Linked DNA regions of Bombyx mori. The protein of the gene in region 2 binds, or shares a complex with, the protein of the main gene of each other region. Links are inferred from orthologs where the notes say so. Each region holds a gene or a part of one and is shown on either strand. Other genes may lie near its edges.

What was found.
Region 1: mediator of RNA polymerase II transcription subunit 19 (region 2) and mediator of RNA polymerase II transcription subunit 8 share a complex: the UniProt entries of both Drosophila melanogaster proteins name them as parts of the mediator complex. The link is inferred for Bombyx mori from reciprocal best matches to the Drosophila melanogaster genes MED19 and MED8.
Region 3: mediator of RNA polymerase II transcription subunit 19 (region 2) and mediator of RNA polymerase II transcription subunit 18 share a complex: the UniProt entries of both Drosophila melanogaster proteins name them as parts of the mediator complex. The link is inferred for Bombyx mori from reciprocal best matches to the Drosophila melanogaster genes MED19 and MED18.

The regions. Positions count from the first base shown.
Region 1 is NC_085118.1:10,645,500-10,651,518, reverse strand, and holds the start of mediator of RNA polymerase II transcription subunit 8, read left to right. Parts: upstream 1-2,462; 5' UTR 2,463-3,163; coding exon 3,164-3,337; intron 3,338-3,641; coding exon 3,642-3,887; intron 3,888-4,474; coding exon 4,475-4,571; intron 4,572-5,835; coding exon 5,836-6,019. Other genes in the region: uncharacterized protein LOC134199859, read right to left, coding at 1-2,150. UniProt on the Drosophila melanogaster protein: Component of the Mediator complex, a coactivator involved in the regulated transcription of nearly all RNA polymerase II-dependent genes.
Region 2 is NC_085116.1:16,052,310-16,058,414, forward strand, and holds mediator of RNA polymerase II transcription subunit 19, read right to left. Parts: upstream 3,625-6,105; 5' UTR 3,100-3,624; coding exon 2,919-3,099; intron 2,833-2,918; coding exon 2,461-2,832; intron 1,940-2,460; coding exon 1,779-1,939; 3' UTR 219-1,778; downstream 1-218. UniProt on the Drosophila melanogaster protein: Component of the Mediator complex, a coactivator involved in the regulated transcription of nearly all RNA polymerase II-dependent genes.
Region 3 is NC_085121.1:5,595,966-5,602,233, reverse strand, and holds the start of mediator of RNA polymerase II transcription subunit 18, read left to right. Parts: upstream 1-2,711; 5' UTR 2,712-3,030; coding exon 3,031-3,123; intron 3,124-3,562; coding exon 3,563-3,697; intron 3,698-3,982; coding exon 3,983-4,187; intron 4,188-4,457; coding exon 4,458-4,570; intron 4,571-6,268. Other genes in the region: exosome complex component RRP4, read right to left, coding at 1-104, 309-494, 1,089-1,223, 1,305-1,542, 1,616-1,740. UniProt on the Drosophila melanogaster protein: Component of the Mediator complex, a coactivator involved in the regulated transcription of nearly all RNA polymerase II-dependent genes.

The sequences.
Region 1 (6,019 bases), on a different chromosome or scaffold from region 2:
TTAGTAGAAGCTATGCACACACCACGAGACATAGGTTCAAAAAGTAATTTATAATGCACCTTAGCATCAGTACTAAAATACCATTCATGACGATGAAAATCAATAATAACTTTGGCAGCATTAATAAAATCAATACCCAGTAAAGTTTCATTATCATTAGAATCAGGGAAGATTATAAATGGAATATCAATCACTATGTGTTCTAACCTCACTGGTAATATGGTTGTCAATACATCCATATTCCGAACATGCCCATCAGCAAGTTTGACTCGCCTAGTGGAGGGAGTAAGAGGGTGACCCTTATGCAGAAGGAGAGCATACAGCGTGTGACCAGCAATACAATGCTTAGCTGCTGTATCTATAAGTGCAGTACCCTGATTACCGAGAACTTGAATTTTGAAAATAGGCCGTAAATGCAAATACCTATCATCACTCTCACGGTCGTACACGGACGCTACAACACTTCCCTCACATGTACAATAATTAAAATTCAGACAATTATCAATTTCCACACATTCGTTAATTTTTCCAAAATTACACTTACTGCCTTTTGTGTCACAGTCATGGTTAGTTGAAAATTTTAAATTATTACAATTTGGTTCAATTATTTGATCATAAGGTAAAAATGAGTTCTTACATTTAGGTCTAGTTCCCTGGTTATAACAAATATTTAAATTTTTACACTTTGTCCGAACATCCTGATTATATAAAACATGAGAATAACAAAAGGTTGGCATCTCATTATTACTAGTGCAATTACAGTTAATATTCTTTGACACAGAATCATTACAGGCATGAAAATAAGATTTTCTGGAAGTAGGGCCTCTGTTAATGGTAGCATAATTAATATTTGCATCCCGGTTACAAAAATTTTGACATTCAAAATTACTCAGAAAAATATTTTTGTCATGCTGCTTAACATCATACATTGCATTCTGAACAGGTAAATTAGAACTAATTGTGTTAGTATTATTAACATTACACTGAACACTATAAAACGCATTATTGTCATTTTGCACACCCTCGGAAAAGTTAGATTGACTTTGCTCACCTCGGTTGTTTAACTTACGGCACTGTTCCCGTGCATGTCCAAACCGTTTGCAGTAGGAGCACACTGGACGCTGTTTCTTCGTGGTCACGAATTGCTCTGCAGAACCTGGCACAGCAGCGGCAGGCGTGGCAACGGTAGGCTGGGCGACAGCGACAGGCACAGCGGTGGCGGGCACGACGGCCGCGGCGGAGTTTGGAAAGCGCGCGCGCGGCGCCGGGGCACTCGCACGAGCGGCGCACGGTTCAGGCCGACTCGCAGCCTGGGCCGGCTGGGCACGGATCGAACGCACACCACTAGTGGACGACACTGGTCTCGATTGAGTCTCCTCTATCGAATCTTCTATATTCCGAGCATGGTTTAATAATGAATTGAAAGATGTGATTTCTTCACGGCGCAATCTTGTGCGTATTCTATTATGAAGCAACCCGTATATCATATCAAGTTGTACTTTTTCAGCAATATCATCCCGCGGTAGCTTTGCCATAAGCGCACGAATACGAGCAACAAACTTGTCTGTGTTTTCTTTATCCTGCGGGGAAACAAATATTTCCAAATATATTCTATGTGGTGGAAGGCGGGTGCCATATGCATATATTAAATTTTCTTTGGCTTCGTTCCAAGTGGAGATGTGATGCTTTAATCCTAGCCACCACGTAGCTGCGTCAGCAGACAAAAGCATGGCTAGGCCTCGTATGATGTTAGCGTCAGATACTTGAACGCATTCTGTATAACTTTCAATTGCATCTATAAAGGCCTCAACAGATTCACCAGGTGCACCGCTGAAAGAAGCTCTGCAACGCGCCAAGGTACCATCTACGTTCACTGGGGGCATCGGCGGAGGTGCCGGAGTCGACGATCTTTGTTCCATCACGTACGACATAATGTTCTTAAATGTTTCGGCCTGCGAACGTTGCAGCGAGGCCATCAACGCTGAAACATCATCCAAGTTGAACGTAGAATTGTTGCTACGTGATTCGGCGTGGGGGCGATCATGGGGGCTATCATGCTCCTCGTGATTTTCGTTGGCATTTGCATCTGCAGCAGGAATAACGTCGTCTTCGCGACGTTGCTGGCGATCTTGACTTCTAGTTAAAGGCATTCTTTACAATTAAGCACCAACAGCATACAATAGTTAGCAAATTTTTCACAAAAGCGTGCGCGCCATTTTGTTAGTCCAAGCAAGAAAAAAATTAGGAAACGTTGGGCAGCCAGATATAGTGAGGGGTAGATCTCAGGGGTATTTAAAACTATGGGTTAGTCACCAATATCGAATTTCGAATTTTAATCTTCCTTTATAACAAACAATTTTCAATTTTTAAACAATAATTACATTTAGACGCGGGCGCACGCTATTCACACTCAAAACGGAAGCGCCCGGAACATAGATTATACACTGTTACAAGATTGACATAGATACTAACTATGTATAGCGAGCGGGCATACGGCCGCGAGAGTGACGTACCGGTCGGTTTGCTACATATTTAATATTTGTTCAGAGTGGGGGTATTCATCTGATTAATCCATGGAATAACCGACACACCTAATCTCTTAATCCAGATAGAAATATCAGCACTGTCGATTGCACCTATAATTGAGGTGATGTCTGCCATGTACTTTTGTCAGTTTTTCAATTTTTTTTATTGATGATCACTTTGTTGGTGCAACTAAATAAATAAATAAATTAAAACTATATATAAAAATAAAAGTAGTGCCAACCCTAGCAAATTTCTCGTTTCGTCCCAATTAACCGCAATTTTCGGGTAAATAGGGATTACACCTATTTTTGCATTTTTTGCTTAAACTGGAATGCTAGTTGCATAATTTTAAATTAGACAACAAAGATGCCCCCAAGACTCAATCATTTTGATCCTGATTTAGCATTATATACATCAACAACTACCTTAAAATTGCTCATAAAGTTGGAATTTGTCCCTAATCGCCCCATTTTACGGTACGGTAGGTACCGTATGGTACCATTTTGAGATATATTACTTATGTACCCTTAGTCCCTTACGGTTATTTAATAGCTAGGTAAGGTACGGTACCTAAACCTTATTAAAATCTAACAAAGAGAATTAAAAAGTTACAATTGTGTACCTACCATTTACAACAATGAATATGCAGCAGCGAGAAGAAAAGCAACTAGAAGCTACAATAGTTGCGATTTTAAATAGAGTAAATGATTTAAAAACTGCAATACAAGCATTGATAAATAAACTAGAAACGGAATACGAGACAATAAATTGGCCAACTTTTCTAGATAATTACGCGATTTTATCTGGTCACGTAAGTCCAATTGTATATTGAAATTCATAGCATAAATAGTGTGTGTAATAGTCAACAAGTCTACAGAGATGGATTTCAACTTGAAGTAGGAAAGATAATTAATTTATTATTGAAAAAACAGTGAAACAAAAACTGACGAGTTCAAAACTCACTTGATGTAACCTGGTTAGCGTGGTCACTGATATTTATTAGGTATTATCCCATTTTGAGACTTGTTTTCAGATTTAAGTGCATTTGTACATAAGCTTTTCACTTTAAAGATCATGTGTTATTTAGTTAAATTTTATTAACTCTTTATTTTCAGCTGACTGGCCTCAGTAAAATTCTCCAAGCCGAACAAGCAGCTTCATTGCGGTCTAGAATTGTTTTACCACTTCAATTAAGTTGCGAACGTGATGAAACACTGGCTCATTTGACAGAAGGCAGAGTTCCAGCTTGCACTCATGATTTAGTTCCAGATTTACTTCGTACCAAACCTGAACCCCAGGCTGAACAGCGTCTCCAGCAATTTAATCATAAAGCTAGTACTTTAAGCTATGATACAGCACAGGTATAGACAATAATTAACATTTAATTTTAAATATCAGAAACATTTAAAGAAGCATAAGGTTTAATGTACCACAAGGAAAAATATCCATTATAACTATTTGGGCTAATTTTTTATGACATTCTTTGTAGACTTCGCAATCTAAATTAGTTTTCATTGTAAACGGTAAAAAAATAGATATATTTGGGGTTAAAACATGTAATGCACTGTTGAGTGAATAAACCCACAGCTCACTTGAGATATAGTGGCTGGGACCCATAGATATCACAGAGTTAAATCAACCTCTTGCTTTGAGATATTTGGTTGAAGTATGTATCAATTCTTTCTTTTTTTTGTTGTATCACTTGTCAGGGTGGTCATGGTCATCATTCAGTATCATTGCAATCATATCATCATTGAATTCTATTAAACTATGTATAATAAGTTCTTTTATATAATCAAGATTTGTCTGCAAAATTAGCATGATAATCAAGTTGAGTACTTAAGACATGCAATTATAACAAGCTCACTTTCTCATGTAATGTTGTGTAGTTGTTACCTACAATTATATAGATGGATGATGTATGGATTATAATAGTTTTATATTCCAGAAACACATTGCTCAATTCACTAAAGTTGTCAGTCACGTTTGGGAAATTATATCCAAAGGCCGCGAAGACTGGGAAGGAGAGTCAATGAGATCTACAGGTTAGTAAAAGTTACAATAGAAAATTATCATAATTACCTAAACAGTTGACAGATTTTAATAAACATTTCATTCATATTATGTAGTCCATTTTTAACTTCTAGAGGTTGAAAAAAGATGCGGGTCACTGTAGTGAAAAACAATTTGTCTTCAATAAAATTTAGACACACATGCTTATCTTATTTCACCTGACCCAAAACACATGCCCGAAGTCTCAGTTGTATGGCAGGCAGGCATCTTATAATTCAAACTGGCATGCCTGTTTTCTTCATAACAAAAATACTTATACACGTCAGTGACTCAGGATACACTCAGCTACTCACAGTTCTAGACCCCAGTCATTGGTGAATATCTACAGAAAAGACAGGTGGGATTATTCTGACCATTGTACACATATCCTAAGTTATTAGTTCATATAAGGTAGGTATGACTTTACTTTGACAAAGATGAAAGATGCCCACCAGAGATGCCCAAGATTTTGCCCACCACTTAAACAAGTATGATGATAATGCAATTTCACAATACAAGCAGTGCGATTATGGAATTCTCTCCCTCAACCTATTTGTGCTAGTTCCTCTCTAGAAGTTTCTAAGAGTCAAATGAAGAAACATTTCCTGTCACTTTAAAAAAGTGTATTTAAGTTATTGTTTTATGTATGTTTATATGTATTTTTCATTTCATATTAGTTTTTTTTTAAAGCTTAGTTTAAAAATCATGCTTTAATAGATTTTGTATTGTACACTATTCCCCTCTTTATACATTGTATTTCTCTCTGCTAATGGTTTGCTGGAAGAAAACTCATGAATGAGTTAAGCTCGCCTTTGTGCATAGTATTTAGACATTCTTTAAATCTGTTTTTATTGTATTTTCTTTTTGTGTACAATAAGTATAAATAAATAAAATAAATAAATAAGTATGATGATAAGTTTTTTCATTGAAAAATGTGTACTGACTTAGGAGAACTGAATCACACCATAGTAGAACAGCTAGAGACAGTTAACTGGATGTTTATGTTTTAATATATATATTTTATGTTTTATTTTTCAGTTTAAGGAAGTTTTTTTTTTTATTGTTTAGATGGGTGGATGAGCTCACAGCCCACCTAGTGTCAAGTGGTTACTGGAGCCCATAGACATCCACAACGTAAATGCGCCACCCACCTTGAGATATAAGTTCTAAGGTCTCAAATATAGTTACAGTTTTTTCTATAGGTATAATTATTTGAAGTTTTACTGTATATGTTATATGTTTTGTGGATTTTTTAAGGTATGCAACCAACACACAACATTGCTGACACGCATGCTTTAGTAACGGCAGTAGGAACGGGAAAAGGGCTACGACCAGGTATGGCGAATATGGTTGGTCAAGGGGCAGCTGGAATGGGACCAGCTCGAGGCCCGGCTCCACAACTCGGTCCTGCGCCCTCTACTCTTCCTAAGGCACCTTCAGC
Region 2 (6,105 bases):
AATAACTGCTACACAAACAAAAAACTCTTAACAACCACTTAGTAAAGGGACATTTAAAGAAAAACCATTAGGTACGGTACCATATTTTTTTGTAATCTAGATCTTATCAATGGTTACTGAACAAAAAAAGGACAGAAACAGAAAATAAAATGGCGCTCAACTGTTTACTGTAGAGGTCATTCCAGCCTTAAATGCTTAAAGATAAATAAAACCAAAAATTTAAATAATGTCTTTCTATCAAATTTTATTTCTATAAGGGTGGTAAAAAGAAAACAAAATTATCAATTACACTATCAGGTTAACAGGACATTATATTGATGCCGAAGCAAATTTTAAAGAACATAGTCCTACCACTAAATATGTAATTCTTAAAATTTCAATTTCATTTATTCCTAAAATTTGCTTCAGAAAATTTTAGAGATTTCTGCAATATTTTTTCGTCTGCAGCTACCTACACAGGTGTGTTTTATTGTATTCTAAATAATAATAAAAAAAAACATTAAATTTAGCTTAACTTGGTAAACAGAACGATTTTCTTATAACAAATTCTTAAATATTAATTAAATACATTACTTTGAGTCGAGCCCAAAGAGATGGAAGAGACCTCATGGAATTCAACAGTAACAATATTTTTGTTTTAATGTCACTCTGTGGGCAATTCGCTCAGAAATTTAATTCTTAATTAGTAATATTTTTTAATAAATTCCTAATGTTTGCATTAGAAACATTTGAGAATGATGTGATTATTCTTTCAAAGTGGTCAACTTAACACAATGTTGCTTGCCATCATGGCATTTTAACTCTATTAGGTAACTTAGCATAACAAAATCTTATTAAATCTACCATGCAATCGAACCTGTTGAAAGCCAAGTAGAAGTTACTAGAAATCTTAAGTTCAGAATCAAAAGTAATTACTATGAAGTAAAGATAATAAATTAGCTATAAGTTTAAAACATTGCCTGACTAGCAATTTTAGGTATTTCATAAAAACAAAAGTCTTGCAAACCTCATTTTTCTTATTATGGTTTAAAATGTGATAAAAAACTTCGTTTTTTCTTCATTTTATGGACATATACACCCCATTGAATAATGAAGAAATATAGATTCAGATAAATCTACTCTTTTTTTTATTTTATTGCTTAGATGGGTGGATGTAACATAAATGCAATGGTCTCAAGTATAGTTACAACAGCTGCCCCATTCTTCAAACCGAAACTTATTACTTCGGCAGAAATAGGCGGGCTGGTAGTAGCTACTCATGCGGACTCACAAGAGGTCCTACCACCAGTAATGACGCAAATTATAATTTTGCAGGTTTGACTTTTATTACAATGTTATTCCTTCACTGTGGATGTCAATCGTGAACATTTGTCAAGTATGTATTTCATTAAAAGAATTGGTACTTGCCTGGGATTCGAACACCAGTGCATCGCTTAACACGAATGCACCAGACGTCTTATCCTTTAGGCCACAACCAATTGTATGTTATTCTTCTTGTGTTATTATACCATTCAACCAATTGAGGAAAACTTTCCACTTTAATGAAATGTTAACAACATTCCATCGTATTACAATCAACTTATGATAGATAGCACGTGTAGTTTCAACAAATGAGTGCCGTTCATACATTTAGTCATATGCACAACAAAGTGTAGAGGTACATTTCACTAGTAATGGAATATCACTAGAACACAATGAATTACTAATTTTTAGTCATCTTTAGTACAATACTCTCTTTGGGCTCATTATTCGACTTAAACCTACTTGTACACTTATATTTACGGTAATGGATGTTGGTTTGGTGTAAGGCCTCCATGCTCAGGGCTGTGTTTTTGCTTTTTTCTCTTTTTCTCTTTTTTTCTCTTCTTTCGTTCTTTCTCATCGTCATGACGTTTTTGCTTCTTATGCTTTTTCTCATATGTGTCTGGATTTGATGAATCTAGAATAATAGATATGTTTTATATTAAAACTCAAGACAAAAATGGAGTATAAATAATATAACTTATAAAGCAATTTAAAAAGTATCACTTGACATCTAAAGTTAAATGAAATCATTGTGGCCTAAAGAATAAGACGCCTGGTGCATTCATATTGAGTGATGCGACTGTGTTAGTGTTGGAATCCCGCAGATAAGTACCATTTTTCCTTATGAAATATGTACTTGACAAATGTTCACAATTGACTTCCACAGTGAAGGACAGTGTTGTAAACAGACTCACTAAAAATAATTGATAGGGTGTCTTCTGAGCCCGCACGGGTTAGTACCACAAAATGTAAAATGCAGAGTACAATTACACTGCAATTCAAATACTGTCTTAACTAGATTAATGTAGTCAAAGTGCCTGGAAGACTCACCTAGACCTAAATAGCATCTACAGGTGGCTAATTTGTAATATTGTCTACAAGCTTGGGACATAGCTAAATCTATTAAATCAATGTTGTTGAGTTCTGAGTTCTTACCTTGTAAAGGTGTCTCTTGCCCAGGAGGTGCACCATCTTTATGCTTATGTTTCTTATGTTTGCTTTTATGTCGCTTTGGTGGTGTTGCACTCACATATCTGTACTGCTCAGGAAGTGGGCCAGGGTGTAATCGAAAACCTGCCAACTGAGCACTAGTTAATGGCAGTAATTCTTTACCACCAATTGGTCTCTTAGCTATAACTGAACTTAGAGTACTGTTATCGTCCTGCCCAGGTCCGTCAACGATGCCCGGCAGGTTCGGAAGGAAAGATGATAGGGATTCCTTCAGCTTTTTGCCATTAAACTTACTGTAAGAATGTACAAGTCCATAGTAGGCCATTAAATTTGTAGCGCCTGTCAGTTCACATTCTCCTGTAAAAGAAATCGTCGAAGTCACTTCCTGAATATAATTATTTAAGAATTTGAGAAGAGAATGTTAAAGAGTTGGAGATACTGACCCGGGGGTTCTTTCATCAAATAGAATGGTCCGCTGTGCACTATAGACGGGTTTTTGCCTAAGGATATAGTAGTTTTGAGTGTACCAGAAGAATCTTGGCGAGAGACGACTGGTGACCTCGCACCCCTCGGCGACGATTTTGGCGAATATGGTTCTACTTTCCTAAACTGATCAGACATCATCTTGGATGACCATTATCTACGAAACGAACTTAAATAAATTAAATACTCTAAACAAAATCACAAAAAATTAAAAAGACCTTCCCTACTCCCAAGCTTTTGACAACTCTAAAAAATAAAAGTAGGAACAATGTTGCAACACTTTTTTTTTAAGGGAACTGAGACCTTTAAGTCATGTCTTATTTTAATTTATATTCAATTTTTATGAAAAATAATATTATGGAGTGAAATAATGAAGACGACTAATTTGAGATATTAATCAACGGGATGAAATTAAATGAAATGAAATGGGATGAAATATAATCTCAGTAAAATGGTGGTCATTTACTAAGATTTTTTCAGTGGACTTTTTGGAGGATCCCGAGAAGTTACGTCCAGCGGCTTTGTTTCATTTTTCCACATTTGCGCACTTTCACAGATATTAAACACTTAATAAACCACCATTATTACACATTTAAACCCGAAGAAACACTAAATAGACAAAATAAAACAAATCACACAACTTCACTCCTCACGTTCCCGCCAAAAAGTCCTGTTGCAACACTAGCTTTGTAACTCCCACAGACTCTAATATTGTTATTTAAAGAAAATCATAACAATAGGTACATGGTTTTGTTGGTTCTCAAGAAATTTATATTTAAATTAAATACTAGCAATTCTCAAATTAAAATAGCAACTGTCTAATTAAAATAGACTTGTTTTGAATTAGTTGAAATAGTCTATTATAGTTCTGACACATAAGCACTTGGAGCTTCCGTGATAATTTTGTATGGAAAATGAATTGTGATGTCTATGAGCTTTGAAAACACTTTAAAACTGGTCCAATGGTGTTGGAGTTTGAATATGTAAGTAATGGCAGGTAACACTTGACACATGTAAGGTTACAGTTTTCGAATATTGAAATGCTTATTTAAATATTTAAAACAGATGAGTCTTCTCTTGAGTGAGGACAATGGCTTCTCTTCTAGACACGGACTATGCAACATCTTAGGGTTTTATAAAATAAAATATTGTAATGGTGTTATATATTAACCATGAAGCAGAGTGTTTTTAAATAGCCCCTCACCTACAGAACCCAGTCCTCTCAAATTTAACCGTCCAACAAAAGGTCTCGGTAACAGGTCATACAATCTTTAAAAAATCCACTAAACAAGAAAGCATGAGCTCATTCAAACTTTGAAGCAGTAAAAAAATCAAACATTCTTATTGAAACAAATGCTTAGGCTTTTTTTTTTGTTTAAGTCGTCCTGGCTTAAACTATAAGACGTCCGTAGGCTTAGTGCGAGTTTCAAAAATCGAATCGAATGACTCGCATCGAGTGTACGCTCTTCACGGTGAAACGTGCGGAGCTCTGAGTGCGAGTTACTTGATTTGCAGGACGTTTATTCATTTTGAAAAGCGATATTTTTTTCTTTTATATTGGTAGCACGCAAGGTTTTTTTTAAGGCGTTTAATTGAAATGCCAAGCTTTCTAACGATATTTATAATTAGTCGGGTAATGGGTAATGTACCTGTGCTTAGTGCAAGTTTTTTTAATTACTCAGTCGATGTTAATGTTATGTTTATTTTGTGTGAGGTTGTATCAGTGCCACCTAGTGGTAAGCTTATGAATCTCATTTTGTGGGAGAGAGAAGGTTTGTTTATGTTGCTGTCTCATGTATCAAATAGCTTTACCGAAGTGAGCCTCTCGATTATTGTATGTGCGAGTGCGAGTTGCAAATTAATGGATTTTGAGAGTATTTCTTCACTTTCAAGCAAGTTAAGTAGTCACTAAAATTTTTGCCGTGAAAGCAATATAATATCAAGATTTTTTCTTTCGTTTTTAATAATAATGTTGTTTTTGAAGGTTTTATCTATTCTAATGGTTTATACACATATATTTTTTCGGTTAGAAAATTTTATAGACGTCTAGCTAGTTGTAAATACATATTAATTCTTTGCTTTTTCATTTAATTCTTATTAAATCATTGCTTTTTTTTAAAGAGATGTTTGATGAGAGAGAGAGAGTGAGATAGAGTATTCTTTATTGTACACAAAATGAATAAATATTGCGAAACATTCTTGGTCTTATCGCTAAGAGTGATCTCTTCCAGACAACCATTAGATGGGCAAGAATAATTTCGAAATGAATTGCACACTGTGTACCTATCTATTATAGAAATATATATACACACCCGCACGCACACACGCACACACACACACACACACCCACACACACACACACACACACACACACATACACACACGCACGCGCGCGCGCAATATACATATTTACAGGTACATACGTACAGATTTATATTTTTAAATTATATAGAAATTTGAACAATGTAATAATAATTTTGCTTCTTTACACATTTATAAATAAGGATGGATGCTCGTAATAATTTTAGTATATTTGGGCCACCTAATGAAGATCATATTATCATACTATTACCGTAAATACAATCATTTTATAAACGTTCAACGGGTAAATGATTAAACCTATGTAAAACATAATTTCTTTAATTAAAAAAAGCTGAAATAATTACCTATTCCAAGATTAATTATGTTAAGTATGTCTAAATATGTAATTACAATTAAATAAATTCTATAACAAACTTCTAATTCTAATACTTCTATTAAAGTTACTAAAAAAATATGTTTATGCTGGGCAGTTTTCGTGTATTTTAAAGGTTACGCCATTACGGCAAAGTTTGTTTACGAAATTGTACCCTTAGAATGGAAGTGGTATAACTAAAAAATTTAAGATTAGTTTTATATTTCAAAACACTTATGTATTATTATTAAGAACCTACATTTTAAGTAGGTAATACGTGAAGCAAAAATGTTGTACTCCTTTTAACGAAAATTGCGCGGACGGAGAAGTATGAAATTTCCCACACTTATAGAGAATATAGAGAAGTAGTGCAGATTGCTAATTTTTTTTTTTTAATTGTGCATAAACAATAAAAAAATTAACTAAATGAATAAAAAAACCTTACACACATTACCATGTATTTGACACACACA
Region 3 (6,268 bases), on a different chromosome or scaffold from region 2:
GCAAACATTATGCTAGTATCATCTAACATCATCTTAGATGCCACAAGTGCCAAAATACAATTTTTCACTCGCGCCATCGTTTCTCTTTCTGATTTCCCAACAGGCTGCAATAAAAATGATATCAGCATCATATTAGCATATGCAACAATTTCATGAGGGCATGAGAACATGCATGAGTTCTATTTTCTTAAAACATGGAAAAACACAAAGTTTAGTGAAAATGATATAATAAATCTTTAACTTGTGTTTATCGTTTATCTTTCTTAACTCCTATTCCCGAACACTGCACACTGATAGCATTAACCCACCTGAATTTCATAATTTTCAATTGCATCCTTATTTCCTTCCATAAGAATATCACTTTTGTGTGGACTAATCCATATATATCCATTATTCCCTATTATGACAGATACTGCACATGGTAAGTTGTGAAAATGATTTTTTCTGCGCTTTATCAATGACGGGAATACTTTTATTAAAGTTCCCTGTGAAAGCTGCAAAAAATAAAGTTTTCGAACAAACTCTTAAATTAATTTTTTTTTAGTATTAGCAAGGAGTAGAAAGTTCAACATTTTGTGATATTAATTATTATTAGAGGACTGTATGAATGATTCTATTTTAAGGTATGAAGGGCTATTTGGTTTAGAGGAAAGTCATGTAATTTAAAAATTGAAAAAAAAACATGACAAAACTTCTCCAGCTATTTCAATGGAGAATACTTAATTGGTGTTCAATTAAAAACAATTAATTGTATAAACTAATACCAAATAAAATTTACCTTTAATTACACAGATAGATGCCATGTAGTAAGCGAAGTGTCACTTAAAACAAATAGCCTTACGCCCCTTGATTTTATTTATTTAAACATATAGGTAGTGAATTAAAGCAGATTTAAGTGTTTGTGTAGACTTGTAATCAATTTGCTAATGAAGCATGTTTAATCTACTCAGAAGGATAAATATCATCTTCACTTTGGAGGATTTCAAAATTTAATGTTGCTACATATTTGAATATTTTTAATTTCCTTATAACATTCTTGTTGAACTTTAGAATAGTCATTTTTTATTGGCTTCATAAAATCTGATTACCTTGCCATATTTCAAACTTCTTGTATGCAATGAGAGCGAACCATCAGAAAATACATTCTGTACTTCAGCGCTTATCAAATCACCTTCCTGTAAATGTTTTCTCATCATCTGCTCATCCTCTTCTGAACGCCTTCTCTGGATTTAAAAAAATATATAAATAGTTATCATTAGATACAAGAAGATTGCTTTATATTATGGAAGTGTGCGTTAATTTACCAATTCTCCGCCAGGTAGATTTACTGAAGAAAGTTGAAGTATTGAATCAAGTCGTGAATTGGTATCAACTTTCCATCTTTTCTGTTGAACTTCCAATACTCTTCCGACTACCACATCGCCTATTTCTCCAACGTAACGACTCTTCAATGGGCGAATGCATATAAGTTTATTTACTTTTTGCATAACCCCAGCAACAGATGCTTTTAGGCAATCATCTTCTGCGTAAGTTCCGTGGCCTCTTAAAGTGCAAAATTATTAAATTTATAGTAATAATAATTCTTAACAATATTGTTTTCGCAAAAAATACCGACCTCATAAAATCTTGTATCCCAGTTATGACTTCGCCAGGAGTGTAAAAACGCGGCGGGTCATTATTTGAGGCAACCGAATGATTTACTCTTTCAGATGCGAGTTTTATAGATACATGACTGACCATTTCTAATGTTTTTTTAAGCTCCCTCTTTGCTAATTGTGAATTGTGTACAACGAACTCATAGACCTATAGTCGGATTTTTTATTAGACGAAGTCAACTGACGTTTACTGTGTTGTCAGGTTTTGATGAAATAAAAATAGTGTTGTGACAAAGTGAACGATTGAAAAAACTCCTGAATTAATGAAATTGCCTCGATTGTCTAGTGAATAGTTAGTGTGCCGAATTGCCGATATCGGGTACGGGGTTCGAATTTTAGGCGTGCTTTGTACAACCAATGAGTTTTCGACGAAATATTATGTTCCTATAGTATCTACCTGCACTGAATACCGAGTGTTTTAAACATTAAGAAAAACATTGCGAGGAAGCTTGTAAGACTGTCCTATTTCCAATACATCATATAGTTGAAATTATAGATGTATAAAATATAACAATTATAGGTATGTAATGAAAATAAAAAAAAGTAATTGTAGTTACATACTACTAGTAACATATATTGGAGCACTTTAATACAATTTTATTGTAAAATATAAATAATATTCTTTTATAGTTTGAAATTAATGATTAACTCTTCACACTCATTGTTCATTCATGTGATTGAACGAGAACTGAACAGATGATAAGGGATGAAATACAATCTCACTAAAATGACGGTTATTTACTGAGATTTTGGCCTTTTTGGACGATCCCGAGAAGTTACGTCCAGCGGCTTGGTTTCATTTTCCCACATTGGTGCACTTTCATAGATATTGAACAGTTAATAAACAACCGTTATTACAGGTTTAAACCTGAAGACACACTAAATAGACAAAATAAAACAAATCACACAATTTCACTCCTCGCATGTAGAATCATTGGTGACAAAAAATGTTTAAAAACAAATACGGCCGTACCAATATGATAATATGATGCGATACCATTGCCTCTCTCTCCTGTATTTGAAAAAGGAAATTACAAAATGTCACCTAAATGAGGCTAAATGTCAACATTGTTAGTAACTGTCAAGCTAACAGCGATTGCAAACATATCTCTACCTTGTTAAATTCCAATATGAGTATTTAGATTATGTTAATTAGAAATTAGAATTTATTTTCTCCTTTAAAATTGCCTAGTTTTTTATTTTACGCAATATTTATAGTTTCGGTTATATGGACTATTTAGACTGAATGCACCTCTATGAGACAGAAAAGTCGTTTATAAGTGTAATGATTTCTTGGCTCACACATAGTTCTTCAAAACTTAAATCTTTAAATAGCTGCTATTGAAGTAGGTTTTCAGATTTTCAGCTCCATAAAATGTCGGCAAACGCTGCACCTATAACAGCTACAGATAGCTTATCGCAAGCTTTAAAAGCGAACATTATACCAAATCAGGAATACTTACTTCAGGTACTACAGGATGTTGAAGTGGCTCAGCTATTTTAAATTTCAGAATAATTACAATATAGTCTACATTCTTCTACAGTTTCCATAAATTGCATACTTAACAGAACTAATTACCATAGTTGCAGCTATTGTATCCAATTCTTTTGACCCATTTGATCTGTTTACATACTACATTCAAAATATTATCAGAACCCATACATACATAGCTTACATATAATAGCAGCCCAAAAAAACATGAGATAAGGTCTTAGTTACAATGCCTACAATGCTGTTCTTAATAAATAAAAATAATTCATTTAATGATTTTCAATTTTACAGTATTTCATAGCTGGAAATTATGATAATTAGGCAACAGGCAGCAACTTTTCTCAAGATTCAGTCAAGTTTGTTAATTGTTGAATATTATACATTTAATTTTTGATTCCACTAAAATTTGATTAAGGGCTCAGTGTTGGACTCGGCAGTAGAAGTTTTACTTCACCGATTACGTGGTCTTTGTGACAATGTTGATGCTGGGCCAGAAACATTTGATGACCAGGAAGTGTGTTTCAGTCTACGGGATCCTAATCATCATCAGGTAATAATAATACTTAGAACTTTTTAAAATATTTCTGTTAATGTTATTATTATTTTAGGACACTAGAATATAAAATGGTTATAAAATTATAATACAATAAAACTTGTATTAAATTATAAATTGATTAAATTTTGCCTGGGCTGTCACCTGTTTGGTCAAGAAAAGTGCTAATGATTTGGTAATCACTATTAATACTGTACAATTCGTGAGCATAAAGACATGCCTGAATCTATATATTTTTCTTTCATGTTCTAATAGTTCATCTTTAATAAATTTAAATTTCAGGCTCCCCCTCTCATGTTGCGTGTTCGTAAAGCATTAGATGCTCGAGACATGCCATTTCAGTTACGATACATTGGGCAGCCTGATTTGGGGGACAAAAATAGGCCAACAGTTGTCCGTTCCAGTCTTGATATAGCCTGCAGTGGAATGCTCATTGAATTTTTAAATGAGCTAGGATGCCGAATTGAATTTGAATACAGTGTAAAAGGTAATAATATTTATTATAATGACAATTATGAGTAATATGATTGTACATGTATTTGATAGTATATTCTAAATCATCACTATTACTATACCACTATTGTTAATAATGACGAATCAAAGAAGACCAATAGTCAAAAATACTAATTCAATTTAAAGTATTACCTAGATTTGGGATTTAATTAAATTGCATATAATTTTCAGTGGTTCATTTAAAATCAATCAATTACGGTAATTTTATAAAAAACATTAAGCTTTTTCTAATTCTAAATTTCAGGTTACATGTTTAGAAAAGGTCGTATGAAAATTACTGTAGCAAAAGTGTTTAAGATTTCTCAAAATTCAATGCCACCTGAACCTATCTCACAGAGCTATCTTGTGGAGCTTTCTGTAAGTTTTTGACACCCAATTAAATAATTTGTCAAATTTCCCAAACAATACCGCTTTCTGGTTTTGCTTGAGTATGATGATTATATATGATCTTTAAGTACCGTAGATTGGGGAAAATGGGGACCCTTTCCAATTCCAAAACAAATTTTCAATGCTTTTATTCTTAGGGTAATACCAATAAAATTGAGATTAAAATGGCTCCGAAGGTTTAAATTTTTAAATACGATTCATTATTTTATATAGTTCATATAGTCACAAAATATACACAAAACCTTAAAAAACTTGCTTGACCCGATTCTCTTTGAATGAGGCTATTTCTCTCATTGACTTGTCCTTCTTCAAACGAGGCTTGTGGAGAGTATACAACGGTAGGCAGCGGCTTGGCTCTGCCCCTGGCATTGCTGAAGTCCATGGGCGACGATAACCACTCAGCATCAGGTGGGCCGTATGCTCGTCTGCCTACAAGGGCAATAAAAAAAATACGCTATGTATGGGGACAACAGAGTTTTTCGATAAGGCTGGCACTATTTAGTTCTTAGGTAGGTACCTAACTTTAGGTAATTAATTTTTTATATCTTTAATGAGATACAAAGTTTTGATATCTGAATTAAACTATATAATATTCTTAAACACTAAATAATAGTCATCTTCAGTGCAACAAAGTTATATCTAACAACCCAACAAGAGTATTGTGACATCCCAGATTTGTCCCTATTCTAACTCTAGTCTCTATTCTCCCCAATCTACTGTAAATAAACTAAAAATAAGGAAGAGATTTTTAATTTGCTGGCTTGGTTTTGATGTAAACAGCTTGGTTTTTTCAAGCTATAAAAACATAAGTAACCTAACCTACAGGTTTCCATGAATAAGTAAGGCTCAATAATAAGCTTCAATTGTTTTTTTTTCTTCTTATTTGTACGTATTAAGTAGATTTTATATAATTAATGTATGTAGTTGATGTTTGTAGAGCAATGTGGATTTATTTTATTTCATGTATGTTATGTGATGTGTAGTGTATTTCAGTTGTTGAAGACTTTTACCCTTCTTTAATATCTTTGGTTCCCTTAGGTTTGTTAGAACAAAAGACTAATTAATACATTAAACTCACCATTGGACATTCTTTTACAAGTCTTATTTTAGTATCATTTTCTGTGTACCTATAATATATAAGAATAAGATGATAGACTAACTTTTATTTGCTGATAGTGAGTCCTGAGTCCTATAAGGATTGTGCGCCCAAAATGTTATATAAACTCTGCTACTTAAACAATTTTGGGGATGCTTAAACGACAAAGGGAAGATCTTCCACCGAGCGGATGATATTGCTCGGTAGACCGACGGTCCGAATGTTGTTATTCGGAACTTGTACATATGCGCTTTATCTTGAAAATGTCGTAAGCGAGATTCAGGCATCTGTCAATTATCTTGCGTTGTATGATGGCTACCCGCCACATCACTCCCCTCCGAGACTGGAGGTCGTGTCATTTTTAGATATCGTTGTCCGTGCTGAGATTAGCTTGCAAGTGCCAGTGCTGCTCGAAGTTTGCGGTGAGTCGAAACTGAGCTTGAATGCTGCGTGATTGTCGCCAGTGCTGCTCGAAGTCTGCGGTGAGTCGAGACTGAGCTTGAATGCTGCGCGATGAGGCAGTGTAGGTGCGTGCCGTAGGGCCAAGAAGCGCGGTTAGTCGGCTGCGATGG